2 linked regions of the Caenorhabditis elegans genome follow. The protein of the gene in region 2 purifies or fractionates together with the protein of the main gene of each other region. This does not show direct contact. Each region holds a gene or a part of one and is shown on either strand. Other genes may lie near its edges.

Region 1 (14,984 bases), on a different chromosome or scaffold from region 2:
TCTCCTAAAATAGAAGATCAGAATCGAAGATTTCGCGGCCCGCTTACCTGAATTAAAAGTGGGCGGATCCACCTCCTAAAGTTGAAATTTGCATTATTTTTCAATTGCGAAAGTTGGTTGAGAAGTGGGTAAAATTGGTTAGAAAGCTGACAAAGTTGGTTGGAAAGTGGTTCATATCTAATGGCAGTTAGAAAGTGGCCAAAGTTGGTTTAAAAGTGGCGCCGAATTGCCGAGTCAGCATTGGCGAAAAAAGTTGCAACATGCGTGTTCAAACAAGTTCAACACGTTTTTCGGATTGCGTCTGAAAAAACCCCCCATCTGCGTGATTCAACATGAGTTCTGCCAAGGTAAGTATTTCAGCTCACTGTTAAACTTCCGAACAAAACCATGTCAAAAAATTTCAAAGATGATTTTAGGCTTGATAAGGCTCCATTCTTCCTTGGAAATTTTGATTCTAACAATTAAAAAAAAATAAATTTTGGTTCTAACAACTGCATTATCTTAATCCATTAGTTCGTGTAAGAGAGAGCTCCTGTTTGCCTCGCACATAAAGCTGAAAATGCTCTTAAAATGTAAAGATTCTTAAGTGGACGCTTAATACGAGGGACTTTCTTCTTCTTGGGCGTAAGTAGAAATAGGTTTTTTTTAGCTTTTTGGGATAGCCGGACAGTTTGAAATGTGCATGCCTGCATGTTAGGAAGAGTTCGTTTTATTCTCAAGGTGGTAAGTTTGGGTTATCAGGGAGGTAAGTTTTGCATAGGTGCATGTCTTAAAAGTTTTTTTTTTTGGTTTTCGGGGACTTTGTTACAGTAACGTTACTTATTTGAATATCGCGACAGTAGTAACTTTTTACTAATAATTATTGTTTTGTTTTTTAGCAATATTTAGAGTTGATCTGACTGAATAAAATGAATAATGTAATGTGTGCCCTAATTGGGGAGTTTTGTTCATTGAATATCAATTTGTCATAATTTTATATTTACTGCAAAACTTCTTCTTTTTTAAAACTATAAAACACTTTCGGCCGATTACCATAATTGTTCAAATTATTTGAAACAAATATCGCAGTATTTCCAAAAAAAAAACATAGGTTCCACCGAGATTTGAACTCGGGTCGCAGGATTCAAAGTCCTGAGTGCTAACCGCTACACCATGGAACCATACATTATACCTTCCATCTATAGGAAATCACATTATTATCTTTCCGAAAAGCTGTCAATAGAGATAAACCTGTCGCCGATGTGTTTTTGAGTGACATCTTTTGTTAGCATATACACTTATCGGGAGTGCAGCAGTGTTCGTTTGCCGGAGAGCTTTAGAAACTTCTTTAGACAATATAAGAGTCGTAAACATGGTTCCATGGTGTAGCGGTTAGCACTCAGTACTCTGAATCCTGCGACCCGAGTTCAAATCTCGGTGGGACCTTTCTTTTTGTTTTACCCTTGTGAAATTATTTTCTCGGTTTTGAAAAAAGGTTAAAAGTGACATTGTAGTCGAATAGAGCGAAACCAATTAAAAAAAATGAATTCAATGCCCAATTAATTATATTCATTTCTTTTCTGATTGTGAGAAAATTGAATTTGTGTAATATTAATTTCGAAAGATGCATTTCCAAAGATATTGAACTTCTCATTTAAGCTTAATGTAGATATGTTTTTGATTAAAACGGTTTGGGCTGTCTGGGGATTTTCATAGTTTATTGGAAAGATAAAATAATACAATATTGGAGATGATATATATATATATATATATATATATATATATATATATATATATATATATATATATATATATATACATATATATAGGTAGTAAAGATAGGATCCAACGTCGTGGTAATAGGGATAAGAAAGTTTGATGGGGACAAAAAAAGGTGGGAGGACGGACAAATATTTAAAAAAAACTATCAATCCATTTTAAACTCCTTGATTTTGCTTGTTTGAGGCTCGTTGCAGTTCAGAATTTTTTCCTTATACCCAAGAAGTAGTTGTAAGTTTTTGTACCGACCAGTTTGTCGGTTTCTTTTGTTTTTTTTCCGTAGGGAAAAATCGATTTTTTCGGTGAAACATCACAACCTTCTCTTGGAGCTCCCCCTGCAAAGAAGGGGAGACTATTTTGATTCGATTCCTCGTTCGAAACTACGTTCAGCATTGGCTTATGGATTGCCAAAGTTTCAAGTCGTAAAGTTATGTTACTTCATTCCCTTTTGCATTGTCGAAAGCTTCAGCACTGTCGACCCCTTCGCTCTTTTGGGCAGACTCGTACTTGGCTACTTGTCATTTCATGACTTTGGTGACTGGTCAAATGGCGTTTGTTTGAACCTTGAAAGGTCATTCGAACACGCAATTTTTTTTGGTTTTCTGCGAGCGGTTGTTGCTTTCGTTTGAAGCTTCTGGTGTCGTATCGCTTGTCGTTGCAATCTTTGTCTCGGTTGCTTCTTCGTCCCTGAGTGAACAGATAGAAGTTGTGTCGTTCTCTTTTCAACACACCTGAGATAACTGAAGTGAGAGAAATCGTTTCAAAATAAAAACTATATTTTTGAAGCTTTATTTTTCAAAATTAATATTACAGAGAGCTAACTTTTTTGCACCAGGCAATCTGAATCGCCTAGCTTGTGTGAGTTGTTCAAATGAATACGTACGCCGTTCGCATTTATGTTCGATGTGACGTCTTAAACTTTAAGCTGCATGTGCACATTTCTACTGAACGTGAAACCCATTTTTCAGTCATTATGTTTGCATTTTGTATTTTTCTTTGCTAAGTTTGCGTTTCCTGCGAATATTTTTCTGAAAAGATTTTTTAAGTTCATACATTTTTGTTCTGTTTCAAGGTCAGCCATCTGGTGGGAGGTCTTTTTTTCAATAAAAAAACGAAACAAAATTTATGTTGCAGAAAAAAAATTAAGTACCGAAATAATTCCTTATAAATGTTATATACCGTTTCCTCTATTTTTCTATTACTTGCATGCAAGCCTAATTTTCAATTGGTCAATATGGGTACAAAACTAACATAGACTACAAGACTATTAAAGGCTGCAGACTAATTTTCAAAGGTCTCATAACTTTAGAAAGCGACATAATTTCAATTAAAACCCTAACTTGATTCCATTCAAACAATAAGAAATGCTTACTTTTACAACTGTTTATCAATTATTTGAACGCTCAGTAATTCAGCATTTTTTAGGTAGCCTTGAAATTTGATTTTTGAAACTTCTGAAATCGCTCGAAACCGCCGTTCTGATTGTACGGAGCCAATCATTGAACTGAGAAAATTGTATCTGCACGGAGTCAACAAGAAAGAAACTCGATAAAATACAAAAATGTTCGTGGTTACTTCAAATCCCGCAGAGACGACTAGATTCTGATTCCATACTCGTAAAATTAGTTTTCCAATTGCTAACTAAAATAGAAGTTCATGTGAAACATTAGTAATAAATCTTAAAGCTACTCAAGCTTCAGATTTTAAATTTTCTACTGTTATTGTCCAATCATGATCACATACCAAAAAGCCTAAGTTTACCTATATGTATCAAGGTATAAACAGCATCACCAACAGAAAAAAAACATCACTGTTATGAATTCAATATGCATTTATCAAATAGAAAGTAAATTGTGTATGTAGCTTGAAACATGAAGTTTCAAAAGTAAAAATAAAACGTTGAGTACATAATTTATTTTCCCCGATAATTGAAGGGTCGATCTTTGGTATGAAATTTAAGAATCAAGACCAAAATTAAACGTGACACTTTTTGTTTATTTTTTTCACTTACAACCAAACAGCATTATAAATGTAATATTTTAGTCTATTGGAATAAATTTGACTCACTGCTTCAAGTTTTTTTTAGTTGACATCATTGAGTCTAGTTTAAATGAGAAGAAAATTTACGGAATTATTCATGAGCAAATTTGATATGGGGTCAAAAATTAAAAACTGTTTAACTGTTCGAAAATTTTATACTTCCTTCAAACATTTTTTTTGTGAGAAGATTTGAAATAAGTAAGCAAGAAAAATAAACTACAAAGGAAAGTACCTTTCATCATTTTAAAGTTGGAATTTTTCATCTTTTGCACGCGTACTCGAACAGTACACCTGTTTTTGCAACATTTAACATACAATTATTTTGTCTATTTCTGTAGCCATATTATTTATGTTTACTTATTTGATCAAAACGTGCAATATGGTGTAATTCGTTTATCAAATTGAGTTTTCATCAAAACACAAACTTTTGCTCATGCAGCTGAAACGCAGAATGTTGTCTAATCAAATGACTGTATTAAAATACCACATGCTTAATGACGTTTAGATTCAGCTGATCTTTTCATGTGTTTTTTCTTGGAAAAGGTTTTGATTTTTAAATGATGAAAGGTTTTCAGAACATTTTTCACAACTCCAGTGATCAAAAACAAAAGTTCTGTCAAACGGGTTATTATCAGTTAATACCTGCTGGTCAGTCAATTTGGTCGAAACACACCAGATTGTCTCTATTGCGGTTTATACAATCATGTCATCCGATTTTCAACTACCTGGTTTTTATACTTCCATTTCTGTGCAAGAACGTTATTTTGTTTGGTTGCGGGTGAGTTAAAGATGTTCTTGTGGGAAAGGAACCCGATTTTTCCTTTTTCATAATTTGGTGGCCAATAATAATATTAATCACTTTTTTTCCAGCGATATATGGAAATAACATCAGTTCTTAACGTATTTCTGACTGCTTTGACCCTTTATTTAGTAAGAGTTGAAGGGAAAACCTTAAAGCGGGATTACAAGCAAGTTCTTGTTTGCAACCTTATGCTTCCGGTTGTCTTCAGTGTTTATATGGGTTTTGTCTACCAACCGTACATCGTGTTCCCATATCACTTACTTCTCACCGTGGGATTTTTCCGATTTGGGCCGTTCGTCACTGCTCATCTGTTTAATATTTGTTGTACTTTGGCAATCCTGTGTTCGATGAGTTTCCTCTATTCGTTTTGGTTTAACTACTTCACGATTTGCTATAGAATATCACGTCAAAGCTCAACAAAAACAAATTTGATTGGAGTTTGCATTGGTGTTGTATTTACAATAGTAAATTTTGTACTAATGACTATTGGAGTCGATGAACATCAATACGAAGATCGAGATAACTTGTACAAAACTGATAACAGAATTAAGTACTTTTTCAATGAATATTCCATTGCAATTGTAAGAGTCAGTGATAAATGGTCTTTAAAGGTATTGTTCTTCCTTTGAAATTTCAGCGAGCTTTCACATTTTCAGGCATTAAGTGTCGAAGCATTTATTGGAATTTCAATAGTAGTTATCATAATCCCATTGATAACATTCAAATCATATACAACATTGAGCAAAATACACAAAATGATTTCTAAGCAAACACTGATCCAGCTCAAAAACGCTTTGGCAATTAGTCTCTGGTACTTGCTGCAGTTTGGTGTTTTAGTTGGAATTCCAGCTGCAACAGCAATGGCATTATTATTGATGCAATACACACCTTTCGAAGGGTATGAACCATAAACTAAAAAAAGATGATTCAACACGCATGACTAAAACTAAAAAGTTGCAATTAAAAATTAGGGATCTATAGCAACTGTGAATTATTTTCCAAGCTTTCCGGTGAAGCCAAGTACTACAAAAGTAATATGAAAAACACGGAGTATTCTATGTTCTCATCTTCTGAAAAAAATATATGTCAATTAAAGTTAAAAGTATAGTTTGAGAAAAATAATTACAAAGAAAACAAAAATACTTGAAACAAAGGTATTACAAGAAAAATGTAGCCTGCATTTCAACATAATTTTTTTTTCAGTTTTCCATTTGCAATGGTAGTGTTAGCTCCAACTCAACTCACATGTCCAGTTATCTGTATCCTATACTTAATACTTATCAAACCGCTTCGTTATGGTTTTTTTAAACTAGTGGGTCTTCATAAGTATGTTCCAAGAAACCAACCAAAAGCAGTAACGCAAACACGTAAGATTTTTTGGACTAGTGGTTCGGTTGAATCTATATGTTCCAGAATTATCAACGTTCACATCTCACGTTCCATCAAGACCGACAAATAGAGTACCGTATGGTTCTCTAAAACTTTATTAATGTAAACGTTTTAAAGTTATAACGTTTCACTTTAATTCTGAAGTCTATGTAGCAATATAATTATGCTATTAATTGAAAAATTGTTATTCTTCACAAAAATAAAATCACAGAATTTTTAAATAATTAAACCACATGAAATTCAAAGAAGACGGAAGTAAGTTTACATGCACATTTTCTAATGTTTTGTATATGAATTTGCGACCGCACACTTAGTGACTTTTGTCTGTAATTAATCAGTTTAAAGTTTCAAAACTTTTTAAAACTTACTCCACACTCAGAGTTTGCACTTGTCTCTGCCATTTCAGTGAAAGAAAATTGAAATGACTTCTGTAAGTCATGAGCATCCGTCTCTCTTGTCTTTAGTTCTTTTTCCTTCTCTTCTAACATATTTTCGAGGATTTTCGTTTTGTGATAACCACCGTTTGCCATATCAAGAGCTGACATTGTTTTTCCTATAATGCTATCTTCATCCAAATTTCGAATTTCACATAACAGAGCAAGAGTCCGACGTTTGTCGATACTGGGTGGTGAAGAATCAACAATTTCAAACATTTCTTCACGGCGAGTGTAGATTTGAGCAGATTCTAAAAAATGCGAATTAGTTTCAAAATAGATTTGACAATTTTAATATCAGTCAGAAATATATTCTTCATTTATAAACTCACGTTTTAGAGCATAAACAAGGTCCGTTTTGGAACTTCCTCTGCATAAAATATGATCAAGAGACTTTACTCTCTCAATAGTCAATTCACACTCTGCTCGCAACGCTGTCCATTTTTTGGCTTCCCTCTTATCGTACGAAAAATTGTTTTTGAAATCAGAATTCTTATTAACTATTTTTGAGACACTCATTCGTGTATCTTCCATCAGTGAAGGTTTATTATCACTCTTTTGTTGGCCCTGAGTAAGCCGAGGGACTGATGAGTTTTCAAGGAGTGCAGGAAGATTATTCATGATCGCCTGAAAATATTCTTACGGTTCCTTGTTTTCAATCAATTGATCAACTAGGTAGTTTTGTTGAAAAACCGTTGCCAACATCTACTGAAGCCAGCGGGGGATTACTCACACCCAGGAAACAAAATAAATTGTATTTTTTATGAACTTATGTTAGTAGAAAACCGATACTACCGGAAAGACATCTATTTTGAAGGATGAGATTAGTTACAACGGGACACTTTCATAATCGGAAGGGTTGGTTTAACTGAAAGCAAATTTGCAAACAAATAAACATTATGACAACTAATAATTGAAAACAGAAAATGAAGCCCATTGTTGAAAATGAGATTGTTGAAATAAATTATTCATGAAGCTAGAAATTCAAAAATGAAAATTTTCGTTTTTTTTACTGGGAGATTATATCAACAGAAATTGAAAATTGAGTGGGGAAACGGTGGAAAATAGTATATAGAAAATGAATATTTCCATCTTGAGAATTTATAGCTCTGTCCTCCCGGCTCCCTATATTTAATGTGAAAAATGATTGTTTTTAGGAGATTGTTCCATTTTTCTGTAAATGTAATATAAAATTGACACATGGAGAATACCGTATATTATTGAAAAATCTGGGTGAATTTCCTGAAACTTTCTTATTTGTTTTCTGACGGAACGGAATTGATGAAATTATTTGATTCCTTTAGTTGATCATAATATCAATAAGCGCCTTGAAGTTAAAAGAATCTTAGTGAAAAGAGTCTGTCTGTTTTTGAAAAGCAACTCCATTATAAGTATAAACAGATGCGCTTTTATTGTTTGGCTTAGGAATGTACTTTTAAGTAGTTTCAAAAATTAAACGCCGGGTATTTGAGAAACGATTAGCGTTTCATTAACTTTTCCGTTTGTGTTCAAAACTAATTGGTTTTCTTTGAAAGCTCAAATTAACATTTATTTTTCTTCATAATGTATTGTTTAAACTGATAAAGTTTAATGTTGAATGTACGACATAGTATTTCCGTGAAGGCATCCAACTCGACGGAACCTGTGTTTCTTATCATTGGTCAAATCTTTTCCTTCCCATTTGCCTTTAGTTCCATATTTGGCTAAGTAGTCAACGTTGATACCTCCTGTCAACGCTACTGTTCCAGGAACATTAAATGGTAGAATTTCTTTCTTCGAGTCCACCAAAATCCATGTGTATGCTCCTGGAGTTGGATTTCTGGGGCATGAAATGACGGCGTAATGGGTGTTATCATATGTGTAGTATCTAAATTTGAATGTATAATTCTTCTTGCAACTTGGATTTGCTCACCTAACACGGGCTTCAACAATTTTTTCACCACGAAGATCTTTCAATTTTTTGACTTCTGATTGTTTAAACTTTTAAAATGAGAATACAGTTGAGAACTCACCATAGTTGCGTGGTGGATACGATCCCCCATTTTCTGAGTCAGGATATGGTCCTGGGGGGAACGGAGCTGGATATTCTTGTGGAATTGGAACTAGTCGTGAAGCTGGCGGAAGCGGCCAACTATTAGGGAAATTTGGAACTGGGTATGATGCTGGTGGAAGTGGTCCTAGATCCGGCACCGAGTACGTTGGTTTCTTTGTTGGTCTTGGGTAGTCTTCAACTTCAACTTCACCTGAGTAGGACTTCTCGTTCTGTAATCATTAATATAAATATACTTTAAATTGCAATAGTATGTCACAATCTGGTATTCTGCAGAAGCCACAGCAGCAAGTAATACAAGCGAAACAAAATATTTCATCTTGGCAGAGCACCGATGTATGGCTCTCCTCTGTTGAGGACCGTTTTATATTTGGTCTAGATTTCGCATGAATCATATGTTTAGAAAACGTATGATGTGATGTGATCCATATTCCAGATTAAACTTTGTCGACGATTCAACAAAATCGTCTATAAAATCAAGTAGAGGTGACGCACAATTCAGCGAAATTGTTCACTATGTATGCTCTCTTTTTATCTGTGATCGCATGTGCGGTCGTCGTATCTGCGAACCAATACAATGATTATGGTACAATTTCTCACTATCCTGGACATCATTCAAACAATCGATACTCTACTTCTGACTCATCGGATTCTTCTGAGAATGAATTAAAATCAAGATCGAACTCAGATGAGCGTTACCCAGAATATCCAGGTGTATATGCGCCACAACCACCTGCAACGAACTACGGTACCAATGGAAACGAGTATAGACCACCAAACAATGTATATGAACAAAATGAGTATGAACAATGCAAGGAAATCAAACACTTTTCTGTTCATAAGCACAGAACCGCTCGTGCTGACATCAAGTGAGTTATCACAAAAAATACCATAAGTTAGCTTTTTTTCGAATATTTTTGCAAAATGAAACTAACTGATCAACGTTGGAAAAAGTTTTAGAGAAAATAAGACGTTTTAAACATAAAACCCGACAAAATAGAAACATTCACATATTTCGTTCTCAATACTCGTTATAGAAAAAATATACATATTGCATTTACTTTTTCGTTCAATTGTTTCGTGATGTGAGAGCAAAACTAAAGTTTTCGCAAAGTTTGTATAATTAATTATATCACGGGCTAATTTTGTTCTGTTTCATTTTGACTATAAATTATTTTCCAATGGTTCAAAAAGTTGTTTTTTTACAGAACAGTAGAGCGTAAGGGGAAGACCTACAACATTATCGCCTGTCCAAACAGTGGAAAACCATATGCCCTTGTAGCAAAAAAGGAAGGAACAGACGCATCTTTCAAGTTTGAGACAGAATTCGTCATTCAAGACACTATTCTCCTTGCATCGGGATATAATTTCGACTACGTTGCGAAATGCGACGACAAAAAGTGAGCCGTATTAAGTCAACTTGTTGTTTTTATATTCAAAGTCTAAATTTCAGTTTTGTTGGAAAATCATTCAACGACAGAGAAGTAGCAATCCGAAAAGTCACATGCGTTGAACTTCCCGGACCAAGACCATTGACAGGATTTTAATGATTCTGTTTATTTAAATGTTTTACGAGTTTTTGGTTGATAAAGTTTAAAGTCAAATTTGTTACAGAATGTGAAACAAAAAAAAAGTTCAAATTTGGATAATTATGTAAAGAAAATACTTTAACTAAATTTCAATGAGACAATGAAATTCATTCTATGATCATCCAAATATGGAAGAAAAGTAGTGCGATAATTCTTTTCGCATTCGTTAGATTAAAAAGGGTTTTACTTGTACTTTATTGAATGTAAGACAGTTTTTTTTTTCATCCGCTCCTTTAGAACAATTTACTGAATGCACTCTAAAAGTCCTATTGTTTTTTTCACGAGGAAGTGAACTCATCAAATTTGCAAATGTTAGTTTTCCGCAGTTTTTCCATGGAACCAAGTTATGATATTTCTGTTGACTGGACTCCTCTCATAATTGAGGTACCGTTGTACTACATATAAAAGATTTGTTGGCAAATATCAAAAAGCCAACAAATTGCGTGAAATGAGTAGCTTGGTGTGTGTGCAACATAGTGCGAAGAGGTGGTTGTTTGCAAGCGGTCGACACGTTCGGAGGTCCGCGCCTCACTATAAATGCGGCGTGGGTGACGCCGTGAGGCCGTCGCGGCGACCGCATGGGAGCCCTAGTTTATAGAAAAATTTGTAGGACGCGCTTAAGTTTTTAGTTTAAATGAGAAATTTAGAAACTTATAATAAAAAATTATGAATCAACAAACTGCCTAAAATGTATGGCAGTTGCGGTTTTATCGTCAATTTGTCAATTTTCTGGGAATTTTCAGTTTCGGTCATTTAAAATTTTCTTTGCCGCCCACTACTCGAACACATTTTCCTAACAATACAAAAAAAGCTGGAAAAGACAAATATGTTGAATTGTTTATTTTGCTTAACTTAGCTGTCTTTGGTGTTGATTTTTCAATCAAACTCTTTTCGGTGAAATTATCTCACATTCATTCTACACAGGCTCTCGTTGAAGAATTCATTTATTTTTAATGATAAAATAGTATAAAAACTCAATTAAACAGTCAATGATGTTTCAAAAGTACCATGATGACATCCAACACGACGGAACTTTTGCTTGTCACTGTTTGTCATATCGCGGCCGGACCATTTTCCGTGGCGAGAGTATTTAGCAACATATCTCACATTGAGTCCGGCGGCAAGAGCAACAGTTCCATCAATACCAAATGATGGAATTTTTTCATCAGAGTCGGCAAGGATCCATGTGTATTTCTTGTTGTCTGATTGTCGTGGGCAGCTAATTTCTGCATAATAATCTCCTCTATGCTTGTAGTATCTGCAATAGTTATTTAATGAACTGCATATGTTTAGTGATCTACCTGATTCTGGCATCAACGACATTGGTTTTGTGCAAGTCTTTCAGCTTACGGAAATCTTTAAAAAGATACTTATAAAATGCAACTAGCGCACACATTTCAACCAACCTCTTCTGTGTTCCCGAGAATCACTATCCTCATCAGAGTAGATTGGGTAACCACCACCACCGTAAGATGGGCCTGGAGCAGGGTATGATGGGTCAGAGGCGGCCTGAAAACTTATAATACAGCTCTACATTGCTGAATGCATTCTGAAACTTTACTTGAGGCTAGCTCACATGCGGTAGTCATTTTACTTGTAAAAACTCACTCCGTAACCGTCGGCTGCCACCATGGCAATGCACGCAACTGTGAGGATGAGGAAGACCATGATGCTGAATACAAGGTTGTTGAACTGGGTACTCTCTATCTCTTTTATATGCGTTCTTTTTGTTTTTTTTTCCTTTTTTGATTTTCATTCTCAAAACATAAAAAAGTAAAATATGACAAAACCAATCACAACGTCACGACATTGTTGGTGAATCACTTTTTTCTCATTGTCCCGGACAAGATTGAATTTTGAGAAGATAAAAAACAAAAAGTTGTATAAAAAGAAGATGAAATACGGTCAAACTCAACCATCGTCTCATCTTTCCAAAAGATGTATCTTCTTCTGTCACTTGCTCTTGTATGCACCGCTGCCGCTTCCTCCGGTTACGGAATTCCAGCCAATGATGATCCTAGCTACTCACCACCAGCCAACGATAATCCAAGCTATTCTGCACCAGCAAATTCTGATAATCGTTTGTACTACGACTATTCTTCTCGTTCCAGCTCCAGCTCTAGCGACAGCAGTGAAGAAAGAGAGTGCAGAAAATTGAGAGAGTTTGATCTTCCATCGGAATTGAAATCCATCGGCGTTAAAGCTAAATTTTCGTGAGTTTCAGAGTACTCAAATTTTAAATTACCACCGACTTTAAAGCATTTAGTAAGAATTAAAAAAAATGTTCTAAAACTTTAGTATGAATTATTTTTACACAAAAGTTTTCCTTTTTCTTAAATAGAACAATTTGTAATTCAGTCTGTTTTAAATTGAAAATTTTCACCATTTGATATTAGTTCGGCAATTTTCAAGCAGATCACACATTGCCTTAAACAAAACTTTTTCAGTGAAATGGAAAGACGCGGAAAAACCTACACAACAATCTCTTGCCCTAGCAATACCAAAACATATGCAATTATTGCCGACAAATCTGGAAGTAATGTCTCGCAAGGAGACATAACCATCCAAGACGCAGTGCTCTTGGCCACCGGAGTTAACATCGATGTCGTGGGAAGATGCCGTGGTCGCCGGTAACGGGTTTTGTTTTAAAAAATTATAAAAATGTCCCATTTTTCAGTACCACTGTTGTGGCTAACAATGGAGACGAAGTCAAAATCAAAACAGTTGTTTGCGTCGAGTTGTCAACCTCACCAGACAAATACTAATCTCATATATTTCAATATTTCATTTTTGAAATGAAAAATTTTCAGTAAATAACGCTATGTATTAGTTGTTTCTTGACAGTTTTCTTCGATTTGAAAAATCCAGGTTCATTTAAAAAATTCAAAACTTGTTCGATCCGACTCTTTTAATGCTTCTTTTTGAATTAAAGTTTAGATGAAGAGAAGGTTCCAGTTACATTTTGTGAAAAATGGAGTATAAGTACGGAATCAGTACAGGGCTGCCCAAATAACGCCTGATTCTTGCTCAAATTTGTACCTCTTTTCACATGACATTGAGGGTTTAGTTTTTATCAAAAATATGAAGGCCGTTGGAGGCGAAAGCCGAGATACAATTAGAATAATGGGTACAATACTAGATCAGTGTGATTTTGATCAGCGTCGCAGCAGCAGATTGGAGTCACATTCATTTCATCCAAGTTGTACCATGTATCGACATGGTGGCAAGTTGGCAACGGTGTTGATCTCAAGTTATTCCGTTGTTTTTCGTACTGAAAAAAATTTTAAAGTATAAAAAATAGAATGTGCTTACAGTAATAAAAAGGAATTCTAATTTTTTAAATGAAAACCAATGAACGGTGCTAGCCAAACATACTCGAAAAATAAAGTTGTAAGAAATCAGGAGAACAGATAGGAATGTGAACAACATTCTACGTAATAGAGAAGAAACTCCATAGATGCTTCAAGTAAATTTTTGATCAATAGGGTAATTTTTTTAAAGGTGGGGTACCCAAATCTGGGAAATATTTTTAAATGACTCCAAATTTTTCCCTGGTTCCGAAAATCAACATGAAAAAATTCAAAAAAATTTCCCTGATTTTATATTTGAGCTTGAAATCGCGAATTTCATTTGTGCCCCGGCTTCTTTTTTTAAATATGCGCTGAAATAAATTATCCTTGGAGCGCGTTTGCCTCATTTTATTTTCTTCATTTATTTGTACTTTTTCAGTTTTTCAGCTATTTTCATTCATTGTTAGCGTTTTTTATCGTTTTTTTTTAAATATATTCTTTCGTGTCAACTCAGCAATTGCATTTCTTGTACCAGTTTTTGACTAGAAATAAATCATTATCGAAAAATGTTCGAAAGTTTTACTATGAGATTGATCGTTTTGGCACAATATGGTTATAACAATTTTCTAATTGACGCTACTCCAACTTGCTCTTCACTTGTTTAATTAAACTTTAGATATATAATATGTACATAAACTAATGAAATGTCAGATAGTGACAATCAAAAAACAGACTTGGCGAAATTTCAATATAAATAAAATACTGCCTCTCATTTGGCAAAAATAATTGCTTAGATTACTTATTTATCACAATTACCTGTTCCAAAATGTTCAAAACCTCTGTGAGACAATCTCCTGGTACATGTTCATGATGTTCTCTAAGGAGCGCGACTAAAGCTCCGCATTGGTCCACAGTAGTACAATGATGGAATACTTTGTTGTGATACATCATCATAGCGACTTTCTCTGAAACATTTTTTTAATAATCTAATATTTTATTAATTTTTCTACTGGCAGTCAATTCTCCGGCAAGGTACAAATTTGCAAAAGCTGGTGTCTCATGAAAACTTTGGCAACGTCGTAGAGCTTCTGCAAAGAGACAAATAGTTTCATCATCCATTTCGAAACGACTGTTCTCTTCAGGTTGACCATGATTGATGGCTGTAGATGACATCCTAAACTAATCAGCATTTAAAACTGTGATCGAATGAGATATGTAATAAGACAATATACATAAACAGCCCAACAACAAAGCAGAAGGTAATTTGATGCCCAGAAAAGTTTTCGAATTGGGCAAGGTCGTGTGAGTTGTGCGCCGCCGTTGAACACAAGCGACATCTGATTTTGATCTTACATTGATAAGCAAAAGATAAACAAAACTAGGAGGAATGTTCAAAACTTTAACCTAACAGTTCTCAAACAAGCCAAAAAATGAAATGGGTGTTGAGTGCGTTACAATCCCCGAATGGAAAAAAACGACAACTGGCGCAATGACCACCTGGGTGTTGGGTTAATTGAGAGTTTTTTTACTGAAAAAACTTCAGCTTATTGAACAACATCTGCTTTATTTGAAAAATAAGATGTAATGTTGAATAGTCATTTACAATAAAAAAAAAGTCTGTTTTTTTTCACG
Region 2 (17,083 bases):
TCGACGTCACAGAACCCAGTATCTCCGGGAAAGTAGAATCTCCGATTCTCGCCGATCACCGCCCATCCTGACCATAACCGGTGGTTATGATCGGAAAGTCCACGTTGTCCCGAATGTTGAGCAGGGAGGCACCAGATTGTGATGGTCTTCCCGTTCTTCACGAATTCCGAGCTCTCTCCCCAGTTGAGCTCGGTCACGGTGTTGGATCCGTCGGCTCCGATGCCTTGGTTCTTCATCCATTTCTTTAATCCCAGCGGGACGAACCACTTGATTTGAGGGTTCAGGCTGGAAAGTTGTTTAAAAATTCTAGCACCATGTTCCATTACATTAAAAACTTACTTTGTGATCCTCTTCACCGCGTCCGCATCCAAATGATCGTAGTGATCATGCGACACCACTGCAAAATCCAAATCCGGCAGATCCTCCAACTTCATCGGTGGTGGCCTGTATCTCTTCGGTCCAGCAAAACTCGTAAACGACGCTCGATCAGCCCAAACTGGGTCCGTCACAAACTTTACACCTTCCAAATCGACTAGTACCGTAGCGTGTCCAAGCCATGTCGCAAATAGGCCACTTTCACTGTGGAAATCATCTGCAGTGATGTTGTGCACCGGAAGTGTACTGTCTAGAACCTTCTTGTCGCTCGGTAGATTCTCATGGCTGGTTTCCCTTAAAACAAGTTTGAAGATATTAGTGAGTCCCGGGCGACCACCCCAGTTGGTGAAGGATTTCGGGTTTTCAAATCTGGAAAATTTTGGATTTGCGTGGGTCTTGGTATGTTAGAACCTACATTTTTCCATTCCTCACCGGCTTCGCAAATTCCTGATCGTTAGTTAATGGTGAGGAGGTTGTCGGTAGGCTCATTATTTACCTATAAATATAAACTTATCATTAGAAATAATGACGGTGCCTAGAGAATCATATATCTCAACGAACACTTTCTAATACAAATTTTGTGAAAAAAAACCACTTTTTGACAATTTTTTAGAAGTACTTCGCTCAATTTTTCAACAATAGAGAGAACGTTGAAAATTGTGAGACGCAGGCACAAAAATTGGAAAATCCGCTGAGCACCTTTCGGGTTCAAAATGTCTTCTTTGAATTTCTAAAAGGTATTTTCGAAGTTCTCGTTTCTTCTTATACTCCGCTTGGATTACTAGTACTCTCGCCGCACATTTCTGACCACAAAAAACCACGGAAAAGTGTGTCGTGGCTCGGTGAGCACAATTTCCCTCTCTTTTTTTGAGACACGTGCAATTTCGCTCTACTGAGACCCAAGACCGAATTGAGGAAAAAAGGGTTGTAGACAACAATTGCGTGTGTCTGTGTGTACACAAACTTTTTGTTTAGTTTTTTGCTTCCAGTGTCATCACTGCCGCGAAACCGGTCCGCGGCGCCAACAACGAATTAGTTAAACTCGAACCATTCGTCAATTGACTTTGAAATTTAGATTCACTCCAAAATATGTGCTTTTAAAAAAACTAAAACTTTACCCCTAGCTTTCCAAATTTGAAACTATAACTTTGAAAAATCTCTCAATTTTTGGATAACATATGAATAATAAGTAATACATATATAACAAACAATCAAACAGTGATAACTTATCAGAAGCTTTGCTAATCTTAAAATCGGCAACTAGTACAATGTTTAACGTGCCGTTATAAACATTGGAGAAATTTTTTGATACCTCTGATGCAGAGGTACAAAAGGAAACCCCTATAATTTTTCAATCATTTGACCAAATTTCACTAAAACGTTATTGGGCTTTCGTGGAATTTTTAAAAAGGGGTATTTTGGCACTTTCAAAATGTCGTAACTTGGTCGAACCTGCTCTGAAGATAAATTTTTTTGGAGTGATCATCTGTAACTATTCTCTATCGAATGTATATAGTGGCGTAATGAAGTCCGATAACGAGTTCAGAGCCTTCCCTTGTTAGGGCAAGAAACCCACAGACGCTGCCTCAACTTTGAATAATACCCACGCGGTGCCAGAGTGTCCCATATCGGTTTGATCTATGAGAATTGCAGGAATTTAGACGAAGACTTCCAAACTGATTTTGCATGGTGAAGAGCCTGCTGACGTCACATATTTCTTGGCTAAAAATTTCCGCATTTTTTTGTAGATCAAACCGATATGGGACAGCCTGATACCAACACAATATACCTAAAGCTTGCAAAGCTATCTCCAATGCTACTGAAATGCTAGTTGTAGCAACAAATAATCGTGTGCCTTATTGAGATTATTTCCTTCAGATAATTTCCTTACATTTCCTTATATGAATTTCAATAAAACGTCACTTTATTTTTTTATTATTATTGCTACATTCCCTATGCTGCCTCTCATCGACCACCGAGAGCACAAGCACCTGACCCGGGTACCAGTCACCCTAACAGCTGATCTTTCCATATGACCAACAGTGCATGACCATCAATTTTTGAAATTTTACTTTAAAAAGGTTATTGGTGCCTGATACGCCTTTCATATAAAATCGCTCTCACCATCCCTTCCCTCCAACCGTCTCTCTCTCTCTCTCTCTCTCTCTCTTCAAAAATCGATTTGATTCATTCTCATTCGCATGTCAGCTGGTAGAGAAACACAGAGACTCTCTTACAAGCCCACACATCTCGTCGTCGGTCTCTCTGTCGTCTCTTCCACCACCCACACTATCCCGGTCAGTCATTCGTTGGTGAAAAGATGTGAAAGAGAGAAAGAGAGAGAGAGAGTACGCACACAGAACGCGTTTTATTTCATATTTTTCTTCCTTTCGCCTCTTTTCTTCGTTTTATTCACTCTCTTATTCGTATTTCTATTGTGTATTTATGCAAAGTAATCGTCGAATTTGAGGGTTTTAATCCTTTTGTTAGGTTTTGAAAATATTATTTAGAGAAAGCTAAAAAAAAGCGAATAGTAAAGTTGTTTTCTTTTGCCAGATTTTGTTGTTGTTCTCTGCTTGCGACTTGATTTATAAAGTGTCTGTGTGGACAATAGAACCTTAAAATTGATACTTCCCGAAAAAATTACCACTTTCTTCATGGATTTCATCACTATTTCGTTTAAGATAACCATAATTTAACTTTTCAGTGATTTTTGTGAATGTATTACATTTTTTTTTGAATGTTTCAAATTTCCATTTTTAGAAAGTCACTTATTCAAATAGTTTGCAATCACGTTTTACTGAATCTAGTATCTATACTAGGTATTCAAGTTCATGAAAATCGGACCTTATCCCTTACTTATCTTATTGATTTTCCTAGCCCATCTCTCATCTTTTGTTCTTGATTGCATTGATTTTAGGCGATTATTTTCAAATTTTAATATAAAATTTTCAAAATTTCCTAGTAAATCTTTAATTAAAAAATTTGAGCCTCAGTTGTTTTTTTTGCACAACTTTCCCGGTAATTTACCGAAAATGAACATTTCCGACAAAACTGCAAACCGGCAAAAAATTTTCACAAACATTTTTCTGCAAATTGTGGTTTTCCACATTTTTTTCTGGAAATTTTAGAAATTTAATTTAAATTGGCAAAATTGTACGCATCCTATGAATGTTCCTACATCTATTTTGAAAAGTAAGCAAGTTCAATGAATGTATCTAAAGAAAACGGGAAAAAAAAACTTTCAAAATGACACTGTTTCAAGTGCTTCCGTCTTATTAAAAAATCCCTCTAAAAATTTCCGGCAAACGGCAAATCGGCAATTTGCCGGAAAAAAATTGCCACGTGGTGTCAAAGTGGCTCATTGCGGTTTGATCTACGTAGATCTACAAACTATGCGGGAGTTGAGACGAAGAGTTCCCAACTGATTTCAAATGGTTAACAATGTGCTGACGTCACATTTTTTGGGCGAAAAATTCCCGCATTTTTTGTAGATCAAATCGTAATGGGACCATGTGAGACCCCGTGCCACTCCTGATTCAACAAACCTATTCTAAAAACTTTACTCTCTTCGTAATTCCTCACAATTTGACCTCCAGCGACTATTTCTCACGTGACAACAACAAAACACTCACAATTCGTTATCACCAACTCACCAATTACAGAGACGACGGGAAGACGGCGGCATCCGCAGACACCGAACCACCCACCACCTCCAACATCGTCGTCCTCGTCATCTCGACTGCCTTCGCTGATGAGTAATCGGAACGGTGGTGGAGGAGGAGGAGACTATCAGGACGTGATCGAGTCTCTTCGTCGTACACAGCTCATCTTTGAGGAGGACGATAATAATAGTAGCGATTCGGCTCCGCAAGCGAATCATCTATCCAGACATCAGACTAGCAATTCTTTAGTCGAAGATATGGTTAATCACTCAAATGGTGAGACTTTTTTGAAAACTTTGAGTCTTGTTTGAAAGCCTGCTCATCCCCGAAACTTAGAAACGGCCCAAAATTAAAGAAAGGACTTAATTGTCCAACGGAATCAAGAGAGTCGGCTTTTGAATTTCTATTGAGTATTATTAATTGAGACATGATTAAAAGATCACTGTTTCAGCATTTCACTTGGTGCCAGAATGTCCTATTTCGGTTTGATCTACGTAGATCTACAAAAAATGCACGAGTTGAGACGCATAGTTCTCATTTTATTTGGCTTAAGAAAGTTTTACGCAAAAAAAGTCCGCGTTTTTTGTAGATCAAACCGTGATGGCAGGGGTTTTTTCTGACACCACGTGATTTTTCCGACACACCACTACCTTCAGCCAGCCAAACCTTTAAGCCGGAGCCCAAATCCCCTGCTTTCTCCAACCATGCGTGCTCACCAGTCATTAGTCCCCCCCCCCACATCCAAAACGACACCAATTAAAGTCACTCAACATTTCCTCTTTACTCCCACCCCCGAGAGAAAACTCGCTATTCTATCTCTGTGTTATAATCGACATATGCATCGTAAAGCGGTGTTTCGGAGCCCCTCCCTAGTTTTTATATACCTGCTGAAAACTCTCTCGGAGAGCTCGCTCGCTTCATGATGATCGCATTTTCCCCCACATGCGTTCTTGCTGCTGCGTAGTGAATGCGCTTATTATTGAGTGTATTGAAAATTGGCTCAATGAGCGAAGTAAGTGTGAAACTATATCTTGGAGCCCAGAACTAGCACCATTAAATTTTACTTTCCAGGCAACCCTCCACCGGTCCCGCCAGGCATCACACAACAGCAATGTCAAATCGGATTGACACCTCGGATGTCGGCATCGCCACCGTCTGCAGTGTCAACAATCTCTGGAACCGCAGTGCTTGGCAAAACGATGGCCAGAGTTCAGAGTAATCCCCCGGGAAGTAGTGAGTTTTTCTTGATTTTCAGAACTGTAACGCTAAAATGTAAAATTTTCCAGTACCGCACAACACAACGACGACCGCGCAAGGAATCCAAAGCGTCGCACCACATATTCCAATCGGCGGCGGTGGAGCCACCGACGACAGCAGTGCAGAGATCTTGTCGGTGTTTGAGTGCCCGGTATGCCTGGAGTACATGCTGCCACCATACATGCAGTGCTCATCCGGACATCTTGTCTGCTCGAACTGCAGACCAAAGCTTCAGTGCTGCCCGACTTGTCGGGGTCCAACTCGTGAGTTTTGAAGTTGAAATTTGAAAATTGCGTGACTAGAAGAGTTTAGTCAAAGCTGAAAAAATTACCACAGCTTGAGCAGAGCTGATATGATAGAAGACTAAGATCCTTTCTGGTTGATCGATCTGTCTCAGTCGAGCGCCTAAGCATTTTAGCTGTGTTGTTTCTCTAATGTAGCTAACGAATCAAGGATCTACGGATCTTCAAAGTTTCAGAGTATATCTCAAATTTCAAGACTAAACCTTCAATCTTACAGCTTCTGTCCGCAACCTGGGCCTCGAGAAGATCGCCAACACCGTCCGCTTTCCATGCAAATTCTCTACGTCCGGCTGCCCCCTGAACTTCCATCACGCTGATAAGACCGAGCACGAGGAGCTCTGCGAATTCCGACCCTACTGCTGCCCGTGCCCTGGAGCTAGCTGCAAGTGGCAGGGAGGCTTGTCGGATGTGATGGAGCATTTGAAGAAGATCCACAAGAGCATCACGACGCTTCAAGGCGAGGATATCGTCTTCCTGGCCACTGACATCAATCTTCCTGGAGCAGTTGACTGGGTTATGATGCAGAGCTGCTTTGACTATAATTTTATGTTGGTGCTCGAGAAGCAGGAAAAGTACGATCCAGCTCAGCCAACTCAGATGTTCTACGCAGTCGTTCAGCTGATTGGCTCGAAGAAGGAAGCTGATAACTTTGTGTACCGGCTTGAGCTATCGGCGAGCCGCCGGAGAATGTCATGGGAAGCCACACCGAGAAGCATCCACGAGGGGGTGGTAGTGGCCATTCAACAGTCGGATTGCCTAGCGTTCGATTCAAATGCTGCACAGCTTTTTGCAGGTGAGCATTGACTTTTGCTTTTATCTTAATCGGAAATTACCAATTTTTGTTAAAACTGAGCTTTCAATTTTTGTTAAAACTGAGCAAAAACAGCTTTTTTTGTGAGTTGACAATTTTTTTGGTAACTTTGTTAGACAAGGGATACAGCTGGAATAGTTGAGTGCATCATGGTGCATCGACCGAAATAGTTTTAACAGCCGATACCCCGGTTAAGTGTGTGAATGCTAACAAAAATGTAACCGCTAAACTATATAAAACACGAGAACAAATATTTTGTGAGTTGGAACTTTTTCGATAGAACCAGAAATCCAAAAAAATTAAGTTTCCTTTGAACATGGTGCATCGACCAAAAATTTCTAAGATTGATAAACTCGGTCAATTTTTGAAGATATTAACAAAGTGTCTATTAAAAAATAAAAATAAAAACCGAAATCCGCAGAGGTTTTTTTGAAAAGTTTTTAAAGTTGGGCGAGATATGGTGCATCGACCTTTAGTAGCAAAATTTTTGTCAGTTCCGGAATATAAACTTTAAAAGTTACCCTCAACAAAAATCAACTTTTTTTTTCAGAAAACGGAAACCTTGGAATCAACGTCACTATTAGCCGAATAGATACTCCACAGAGGTGAGAATTGTATTTAAAAACTTTAAATTCAAGTTTAAATGTTTGAAAATATTTAAAAATTACAAAAAAAACACATTTTTTCAATAAGCCAATTTTAATCTATTTAATTAAAAAAAAAAAAAACTAATAACTGATTTTTTTTCAGGCGCCACCCAAATGAGTTGGAAAATTCTGATCTCGAGTACGACTAGATATGCACAGTGTAAACGTAATAAAATTATTTTTGATTTTTTTCTTCAAAAATGTGATGAAAAGCTTAAAAAATTCAGTTGAAAATCCCCTTACAATCAGAACATTTTAAAAAATTTAAAAATTAAAAAAATTTTTTTTTTGGATTTTTTTTCTGAAAAAAAAACTATATTTTGTTCTAATTTTTTTTTATAATGTAGAATACCCCCCCCCCCCCCCCGCCCCCGCCTCAAAATATTAATTATCTGTATAGCATATCCTTCCATGACTCGGAATGGATAACCACAGAACACTACGGATTTTTTTTCAATTTTTTTTGGTTTATAAATTTCTTTTTTTTTGTATTTTACACTCGATTTACACATTTTACGAGCTTTCCTGTGTTGTTTTATCGATATTTTGTACTTTTTTTTTGTCTCTTGAACCACTTGCGTAATAGCCACATTTTTCTTTCCAATTTTTACGATTTTATACTTTAATCATGTTGAATAAATTTTTTTGAACTTTTTTTGATGGTTAATTGAAATTTTGGAGAAAAAACATTTTTTTTTTCAAAATTAAAGAAATTTAATTCATTCTCAGTTTTTTTTATTTGGAAAATTTGCATCATAACAATTTTTCACAATTTGAGTATTTTCAAAATTTATAACAGAGTGCAAATAAAATTTTAAATAATTTTTATAATTTTGATTTTATTTCAAAAACATTAAAATTAATTAAAATGAACAATTAAAATACCAAAAAAAATCTCTAAAATTTACAATTTGGAAATTAATTTCAAAATTCCGAAATTTTGCAAAATTTAACTGTCGAAATACAGAAATTGCGTTAAAATTTAGTCTGAAAATTTGAAGAAAAGACAAAAAAGAAACATTTCACATTTCTATCAATAGAATTTTAGAAAACTCGGAACTAAATCAGAAAAAAAAAGAATTATTTTTTAGTCAAACATTTCTTTTATTTCAGAATTTTCTGCTTTACAAAAACCAGGTTTTCATAATTCCATAAAGTTTTATTTCAAATTTCAAACCAAAAAAATGCACGAAATTTATACAACATCCCATCTCTCCCAGCGAATTCTACTCAGATTTCTCCTTATCTCCAGAGAAACCAAGTTTCGCGAGCAGGTGTCTAATCAACAGTACCGTCGAGACAATTGACAGAAAAAATATAAAAACTGCAATGATCACTAGATCCAAATTGAAATATTTCAAAAACGAGAATTCTTTTCCAGCAGACGTCCACCTGGGCATTTGCCCGAACCTTCCAGCCATCTCCACCGTATCAATGATCTTTTGCCGCGGGGAGAACCTCTCAGTGGCAAGGATCCGCGCGAGAAGTTCCGCCGATTTTTTGTATTCCGGATTCTCGAGCACTTCTTTCAATGCTCCAATGAGCTTTTTCGTGTTGCTCAAGTCCATTTTATCGTAGATCAGTGCCACGCCGTGTCTCTTCGCGATCTGTGCATTGCGCATTTGGTCACCGAAAATCGGGACTACGACGAGCGGAACAGACTTTTGAGCACTTTCCATTAAGCTTCCCATTCCACCATGTGTCCAGAACATTGAGATTCGTTTGTCGGCTGAAAATAAGGAAATAAGGAACAAAAGATTTAATGTTATTTAAATTATATTATAGAAGCAGCCGACATTGAAAGGTTGCAAAGAGCTTTCCGTTTTTAGAAGTTCCTGCTAAAACTTAAAAACGAAAAACCCTTGTAACTCAAACACTAGAAGAAAGTTTGGCAGAAATTTGATAACTAACAAAATGATCAGCATTAACACGTTAAAGAGCATGAAAATTACTATACTTCATTAGTTGGTAACTTTTTGATAGCTACCCTTTCCGTGGAGATACGGACGGTTAAACAGTACACTGGCCAACTGGGCTCCCCTAATAATTTTCGCTAAAAACATACATATAAACGTGTGTATCTCTGCGAATAGGGAAGATATACAAAGGTTGTTAACAATTAAAATGTTTAGTGTAAATTGTACTACATTTTGTTTATTGACAGTTTTTCATTATATCTACCTAGAAACAAGTTACAGCAGCCGACACTTGACAGGCCTGAAATTTATTCTAACGTTTGTTTCTCGGTTGCTTTAAAGCTATTGAAAAATGTTAACTAGCAGAATATGAAACTTAAATTTTCTACATTTTGTTACAATTTATGATTATCTCCACCTAGAAAAAATTACAACAGCCGCCATTTCACGGGCTATAGTATAACATTTTCAAGCTCTCATATCTCGGTCGCTATTCAAAATTTCCAGCTGACACAATAAAAGATTTCTTACCCAAAAGATCATTCTGTGGCATCCACTTGACAATATGAACATTATCAAGATGGGCGGTCAACTTTGATTCCGTATCGTCGTATTTCCAGATGAATGTAACATCGGGGAACGCCGCAAACGCGTCTACAATCGATTTTTTGACGGCTTCAGGCATCGTAGTAGGTGAAGCTATAGATCCAAATGAAACGAGCACATTTTTCGATCGTTTGCTCAAAATTTCATCCCACTCCTTGCCAACTGGCTTGATTTCTGGCACTGAAATCCCGGCGATTTCTACGATATTTTGGGGAAGAGGTTTCGGGAAATCGAAGATCGGATCCGAGTTGACGAAGAACCATGTGATGTCGCTAACGAGATTCTGGAAATTTTTCACTAAAAACGTAAAGAAAAGAACAAAAACCTACCCAAATCTTTGGCGCCTTGCCCTTCTCATAATGCTCATCCAGCGCCTTCTGCGCAAAACTTTGAATCTTATTCTGAAACTGGTATGACCAATAAGTCATGTACAAGTTGTTCAGTCTAGATAGTATACTTCCACTATCATCTGTAAAAGTCTGCGAAGCTGGAACAAAAGACGGAAGAATTGGGGCTCCGGTAGCCATGAGTGTTCCCTCAAAGACACTTGTCGTATGGGCTCCCATCACATTTTTCAAGCCGATAACCTCGAAAAATGCGAGGCCCGAAAAATCGAAGAGCTCAGTAATTCCAATGTCGAACTTCTCATCCTTCATCTGCTGCACCAAAGCCTTATTGTCGATTAGGTCTGGAAGTTAAGATATTTTGCAAACTAGTGAAGTGTCGGCTGCTATTACTTTGTTGTAAAAGGAGATACTCAAAAATTGTTAACTAACAAAACGTGGGAAATTTTATGCTGAAAAGTTTGATAGTTGAGCATGTTTTGATATCTAAATTTTTAGTTAAGATACAACAACTAAAAGCGTGCCAAAAATGTTCTCAGAAAATTTCACTAAACTTCGAAATCTCAAATCATAGCTGTAAAAAGAGCTGCCCAACAACAAAATCCTACAACATTTTTTCCCCAAACTCACTTTTTGTGTTATGATAAGAAACTTGTCCAATCATATCAGTTGACCACATAATTCCTTGCTTTGAGTTTGCCGAGTGAGTCCACAAATTCGCGACAGCACCGCTTTTCATAGCATGTCCCATAATCTCATTAATAGCGTCGGCTGGAAATTTTTGTTTGGTTGTTTGTCTGTCTGCCCAAAGCTTGAAACTTACTAGTCGGCACCAGGACCACCTTGGCAAGTTCAGTTCCATTTTGAGGGATTGGCACGTCGACTGGCATTAGGAATGTCTGGAAATATAGATTTTTATATTGAAGGGGATTTTTTCGGCTTGATAATACTTGCTAATGTGAGAAGTAAGTTGTAGGCAGGCAGGCATGCCTACCTACCTAAAATAGAACAAAAATCGTACCACATCATGCCCGGCCTCCACGAGAATATCTGCCAGCTTGCCCATTGTCTGCATGTGACTGAACCCGAATTTCGGGACGCTCACTAGGATTTTGTAACATGAAGCTGCTGGTAGTACGAACAGGAGGAGAAATACCAAGACCCGCATTACCTGGAAAAATTTCAAAAGTTAATAACTCAAGTAGCATGTTCTTATTTTTATTACACGTTTTTCACAAAATTTTAATGTTAGAAACAGCCGAAAAAACTATTTAACAAAAAATTCACTACAACATATTTTCTAGTAATCACAAAATGTCCAAAACTGATAACAAATCTTCCTTATCAATTTTGATGACAAAAATCAAAAATTGAAAATTTGTTTTGTTTTTTGTTTCAGAAAATTTGACAAATCTATTCTAAAAAATACACGGAAATAAAATTCTCAACAGCAAGTACTTAGACGCAAAGTGCAAAAAGTTCAGAAATTTGATCAAAAATCTTGAGAAAAAGGGTGAGAATTTTTCAGAACTTTCAGCGGGTTTCCAAGGTAACGGGGAGCACAAAAAAGTTGGGGATAAAAATTAAAATAAGTAGGTTTTTAAGAAAAACATTGTGCAAAATAGGTACTACTAGGTTTTTGTACCTATTTGGTTTTGGGAATATTGAGAAATAAACAAAATTAAAATTTTTTTACCGGTTGTAACTTTGCAGGTTTTTTTTTTGGAGCTACAACAAATTTCAACTGAGAATATGCCGTTAATTTTATGTTCTTTGTTTTGTTACCGTTGAATTTTTATAATGAATGCAATTTTAAAAAGACAACCGATTGAGCAGAGCTGAAGAAAAGAGAGCCCCATATAAAATCGAGAAAAACAACTACATTTTTTGTAGGTCTGTATCTCAGTGGACAAAAAGTTATAAAAAAGTTGTCAACTAACGAAACGTAGGAAATTTCAAGCACTTTATTTTTATATGTGATTTGTTTTAAATATCTATATTTTTAAATAATTTAAAACGTTTTCAAACAAAGACGCAAAAAAAAGTTCGAAAAAGTTTTAACGGTCATATTTCAGTGGACAAAACGTATATAAAAAATTGTTAACTAACAACTAGGGAATTTTAAGTATTTAATTTTAATAGTTTACTGTTTTCAAATTTCTCAATTTTTAGGCTAAAGGAGCTCAAAAAACTTCTAACCGTCATATCTCTGCGGACAAAAAAAGATAATAAAAATATGATCTACCAAAATGTAGGCAATTTCCTGCTAAATACTTCGCTCGTTATTTTTTTTTCAAAATCTCAATATTCCGAAAAGATATAGCCAAAAAAAAAGACATTTAAAAAGTCTAAATCAACCAAAATTAGCGGTGAATTTGCAGGCAACATCACCATGAAAACGGATTAAAAAAGGTACCAATTGAGGAGTAGGGCACAAGGACATCAAATGTACCAAGAAACAAAAAATTGCCCTCCCCCACTCCCTTTTCCCGCCACTGATCACACCTGAGCGGGTGAGAGAGTGCGGGATAACGTGAGAGACGCAGACACCTACAACCTACACTCCTTTTCACACAACAGTTCATACATGTTTGCCCCTGCCAACCAAAAAGACCAAATCATAGAAACAAGAAGAACAGAGTCAAAAAGTAGGGGGAATTTCTTCATTCAACTGCAAAATTTTAGCGGTACAACTGACTGGCAACCAGGGATAAGATGAAAATGAAGGCGCTGAACTTCACGACAATCCGCACGACTTCGATAATTTGGTGGTGCTGGTCATTTTCGACGACTCGCATATGGAAGGTGCCGAGGAGAATGTTGTTGGACGAGTAGCAGCTGAAAAAAATGGTGGTTAAGAGGTCTCTGAGGGCCATTGCGGGCTTTAGCGGACCTTAACAAGTCTTAATGGGCTTATCGGGCGTTATCGGGCCTTAACGGACCTTAGCGGACTTTAGAATGCCCTAGTGAGCTTATTGGGCCTTAGCGGGCTTTAATGCGCCTTACCAGTTCGATAAGTCGGGCCAGCTTTCCAAGGCACATTGCCAGTTTTCCACGGGCCTAGGCTTTAGTGGACTTTAGCAAGCATTAGTCGGCCTATCGGGCTTTATCGGGCTTTATCGGACCTTAACGAGCATTAGCGGACCTTAGAAAGCCTTAGTGGGCTTATCGGGCCTTATTTGGCCATGAGGGCACTCACAAGTATTCATCATCGTCTTCCAGCGCGAACTTCCTAAACACCAAGTTGGTCTCTTCGTCAAAGTACGCCCGATCTTTGTACAACTCATGGATGTTCGTGTGCTGAACTGGTCCGAACTTCATACTGTACCAGTGGACGCCCGCGTTCAGATCGATAAGCTTCTGGCAGGACAACACCTGAGGATCGTTTTCGAGGACCAGCTGAAATAAAAAAAAATGGGAAAAAATTGAGTATAAGTTCATACCCGAACCCGCCTCACAACCGGAGGCAAAAGCCTTGGCAGAATATTTCCGAACACAAATTCGCCGCCGGGGAGGTAGTCGAGGGTTCTGATGTCACCCAGATCCTGAGACGAATTGACGATTCTGCTGATCTCCTCAGAGCCGGTGCATTCTTCGAAGCAAGGACGAGTTTCGAGAAAGATCTGATGGTTTCCGATTCTCTTCAGTTTTGTTCGCAGATCCAGCGGGAGCAGGGTCGAGGAGCACGGGATTTTGTCGTAGAGGCCCAGGTATCGGAGCTCAGGATTTAGAGCGGAGATACGGACGGATGGCTGGAAAAATAGAAAAAAAACGTCACCCGCTGACACCATTACAACTTCTTTACCTCAACATAGCACTTTATGGTCCTAGTTTGCTCTCCACGATCCGACGAGCAGTAACTGCACTTGCTCCATGGCCCGGCTTTAGTTTCGACTTTTAGATTTTCCTTCACAAATTTGGAATTTTTCAGGGTAACTTCTGCAGGGAGCGTCTCAACTCCAAGACTTCCGTTTAACTGAAAATTTTGGTTCTGATATTTGAGCACCTGTAAATTCTAACCGGAATGATTTTTTTCGTGTTTGAGACCTCCAAAAAGTACATATTGGAAATCACATTTCTCCCGTGTCGATTGATACATCTGTAGTGCCCCGTACTATTCGCATCGACATCCTTCAGCACCAGCTCATACCGATCCCCGATCTTAAACTCGGCTTCATCCTTCGACGTGAAGCGTCGGATCCGGTCGGAAATCGATTCAGAAGCGTCGAAATGCATACTGGACAGTGGGACAAACATTCGGCCCATCATCGCGTACTGCCAGTCGAATTTCCAGCGATTTTTGTCGGGCATTGAGAAGGAGGAGCGCAGGAATTTCTGAAAACCGTAACTATTTTCATTTTTGCACTGAAGGCCCACTAACGTCCACTAAAGGCCTGCTAAAGCCCGCTAACCCCTTCCACTCACCTGTTTGAAAAAGTCGACGACATAGTTTACAGTTCTTCCAACTGATCCAGCCGACGGCTTGTACGTTGAATCAATTTCCACACCGTCTTCCGGGGAGACACTATAAAATGTTTTTGTTGTAATAAATATTTCAAATTTTCAACCATTACCAAGTAAAGCAAGGCAGAATGACGTCAGCACCTCGGACAGCGTGCACAACCTGAAATAAGAATATTTTCAGAGAGCCCATTCAAAAACTGAATTGTCATGAAAATGCTTGAATGGGGAAGAAAACCCCAGCATTCTCCAATAATTTATTCGTGTATTCGATATACAAAGAATGAATATAAAACATCACTTTTTTTGCCAAAAAACCATTTTTTCACAGTTTTCCCTTACTTTTATTCTCTGCTCCTCTCCGATGTCTCGTTCAACTTTCTCCAGACATTCACGATATGCTTCAAATTCTTCTGACAGCTCGACATTTTTCTGTAAAAAATTACGGTTTTTTTTAAAGTTTTCAGACTACAAACTACAAATTAGAAATTCTTAATTGCGATTTGAAATTGGAATTTGCAAAATAGTAAAAAGTTTGTAATTTTTAGTCTATAGTTTGTAGTGTGCAGTGTGTAGTTTGTAGATTGCAGTTCCAAAAAACCACAATCAAAAATATTAGAGAAATGGAAATTATTTCAAGTTTTTGCTAATATTGCAGTTTGTAGTTTGTAGTTTATAGTTCACAGTTTATAGTTTATAGTTTGTACTTTGTAGTTTGTAGTCTGTAATCTGTGTTTACGCTATAGTTTCTAAGAAACTGTAGTATGTGGTTTGTAATTGCATTGTCCAAATTAAAAATTTCTGAAAAATTTGAAACTCAAAGTTTTTTCCAAATTTCAGATCCGCACGCCGCGAAAAATTATAGTTTTCCTGATAAGTCAACTGGGAAATGTTTTTTTTTGATTTTGTATGTTGATAACTTTTCCATAAACTCCCGTGTATAGCAAAAAAATCCCCCAAATATTTACCGCAATTGCCAAATAAGTGTACAGTAGTGATATTTGTACGACGGAACCAAATAGCCACATAGTTTATTTTTGCTTCTTTTGATAATTTGTGTAGAAAAGAGAATTTGAAAGTAAAAATGGAAATTGAAAGCTTGGGAATGTTCATTTTTCCTCTCACAAACACGTTCGGGAGAACACGTATCGATAAGTTGTTGGCAAAACTTTATTTTTGGTTTAAAAATTAGAATTTTCAAAAAAAAAAGCCTATACTTTAAGCTATAAGCTTTGCTATAATGCGCCCGCTGCTTTGTAATAAACTTGCAAAATGTAGTTTGCTCTAAGAAGCATGTTAAGTGTCGGCTGCTGTTTTAGGAAACCACATTTTGTTCGCTGCCACTCGTCAAGGTTGGTGAACTGTCGGCTGTCATTTTATGGCCCACAATGTGTTGGCTGCCACTTGCGAAGGCCTGTGAACTGTCGGCTGTCCTTTTATGGTCCGCAATGCTTTGGCTGCCACTTGCGAAGGCAATTTGCCGGCTACAACTGTAAACGATTAGTTGCTTTGTTTTCATTACTTTTTTGTATGTAGGTTTGTTTTTCTGCCAAAAAAAAACGAAACATAATCTGATAACATAAGCACACATTGATATTTTTAGAAATTACTTTTTTTCAACTTTTTGTGTAAGTTTTCAAATTAATATTCACATTTTTAGTTAAAGCCTTCCGCTACAATTTTTTTTTATTTATCGCCCTCTTCACAGATCTCCGCAACATTTATTTCTATATGTACAAGCATTTTTTATGATTGTCTTCGACTGTCTTTCACCTCCTCTATTTCTTTTCCTCCTTCTCGACAAGCTTTTCTCAACTTTTCCGGTTTATTTTCAGCGTCACGTTTTTCTTATGACAGTCTCCTATAACTCCGACGTCTCGTCGGTATCCTCTACTAATTTTCTGCGGCTTTTGCTCAGATGGAAGGGTGAGTTGCTCTAGATTTCAGAAGTTAAAACTTTTCTTCAGGGTCAATCTGGAAAAGTGTGTCGTCGGAGCTAATGATGTGGTGTTTCAGTTATTTTTTAATTGCACTACTCTACCATAAAGTCTTGTTTCCGAATGACTATTATGAGTGAGTTGACTTTCTGTAAAATTGATTTTTCTCACAAAAAAGTATCTGAAATAAAATTTTCTACAAGTTGTCAGTTTCCAACTTGTTGATACATTTTTTCTCCGCGGAGATACACGGGAACACAGCTCAAAATTCCAGCTCCTTCAATGACGTGGCATTTTACTGTGGGAAGGAGCTTCACAACTACATTCCTCTTACTTTTATGCTAGCTTTCTTTGTCTCAATCATTGTGGAGAGATGGAGGACCACGTTCACCAATATGGGATGGATTGAGAGGTAAGGTGGGCCCGCGAGGTGTAAATTGCTTTTTTGTTAACCCGTCATACGTCGGTCGCTGCGCGGCACCTTGTGTCGCTTGCATGTTTACAGCTATTTTGGAGGCATGTGATATGTCGGCTGCTTTATTTTTTGTGCTATAAAATGTTGCCTTCTTTTTTCTAGCCCCACAAAGTGCCGGCTGCCATTTTAACAACCCTTTATGTCGGTCGCATGATAAAAACTATTTTAGTGATTTAAAACGTCCCAGTCCTTTATAATCAGCCCGTAAAATGCTGGCTGCATTCTCTAGAACCCATATTCTGTCGGTTGCAAGTCGCCTCATTTTTCAGTTGCCCGTAACCTGCCGG

The links.
Region 1: the proteins of spe-40 (region 2) and Y62H9A.3 fractionate together in Caenorhabditis elegans (co-fractionation; one large-scale study listed by BioGRID). This does not show direct contact.

The regions. Positions count from the first base shown.
Region 1 is NC_003284.9:11,871,153-11,886,136, forward strand, and holds Y62H9A.3 (putative secreted effector protein), read right to left. Parts: upstream 8,820-14,984; 5' UTR 8,793-8,819; coding exon 8,733-8,792; intron 8,686-8,732; coding exon 8,436-8,685; intron 8,391-8,435; coding exon 8,336-8,390; intron 8,291-8,335; coding exon 8,011-8,290; 3' UTR 7,958-8,010; downstream 1-7,957. Other genes in the region: Y62H9A.1 (uncharacterized protein), read left to right, coding at 4,502-4,576, 4,669-5,211, 5,257-5,498, 5,804-5,967, 6,014-6,090; Y62H9A.2 (uncharacterized protein), read right to left, coding at 6,266-6,313, 6,358-6,674, 6,756-7,044; Y62H9A.4 (DUF4362 domain-containing protein), read left to right, coding at 8,990-9,342, 9,682-9,873, 9,927-10,020; stha-3 (Conserved secreted protein), read right to left, coding at 11,041-11,320, 11,364-11,418, 11,469-11,571, 11,671-11,730; ule-5 (Uterine Lumin Expressed/locailized), read left to right, coding at 12,001-12,275, 12,510-12,692, 12,740-12,827; Y62H9A.7 (ORF12), read right to left, coding at 13,178-13,333, 14,169-14,317, 14,363-14,525.
Region 2 is NC_003282.8:3,740,008-3,757,090, forward strand, and holds spe-40 (Ig-like domain-containing protein), read right to left. Parts: upstream 15,449-17,083; 5' UTR 15,413-15,448; coding exon 15,353-15,412; intron 14,817-15,352; coding exon 14,727-14,816; intron 14,548-14,726; coding exon 14,498-14,547; intron 14,449-14,497; coding exon 14,349-14,448; intron 14,259-14,348; coding exon 13,944-14,258; intron 13,900-13,943; coding exon 13,729-13,899; intron 13,676-13,728; coding exon 13,367-13,675; intron 13,323-13,366; coding exon 13,123-13,322; intron 12,762-13,122; coding exon 12,605-12,761; 3' UTR 12,576-12,604; downstream 1-12,575. Other genes in the region: nape-1 (N-acyl-phosphatidylethanolamine-hydrolyzing phospholipase D 1), read right to left, coding at 1-285, 340-744, 791-864; E3 ubiquitin-protein ligase siah-1, read left to right, coding at 4,130-4,316, 5,112-5,273, 5,327-5,560, 5,817-6,392, 6,961-7,015, 7,161-7,206; ugt-45 (glucuronosyltransferase), read right to left, coding at 8,284-8,786, 9,505-9,862, 9,909-10,267, 10,554-10,694, 10,747-10,822, 10,945-11,091; best-20 (Bestrophin homolog), read left to right, coding at 16,235-16,310, 16,352-16,457, 16,596-16,733.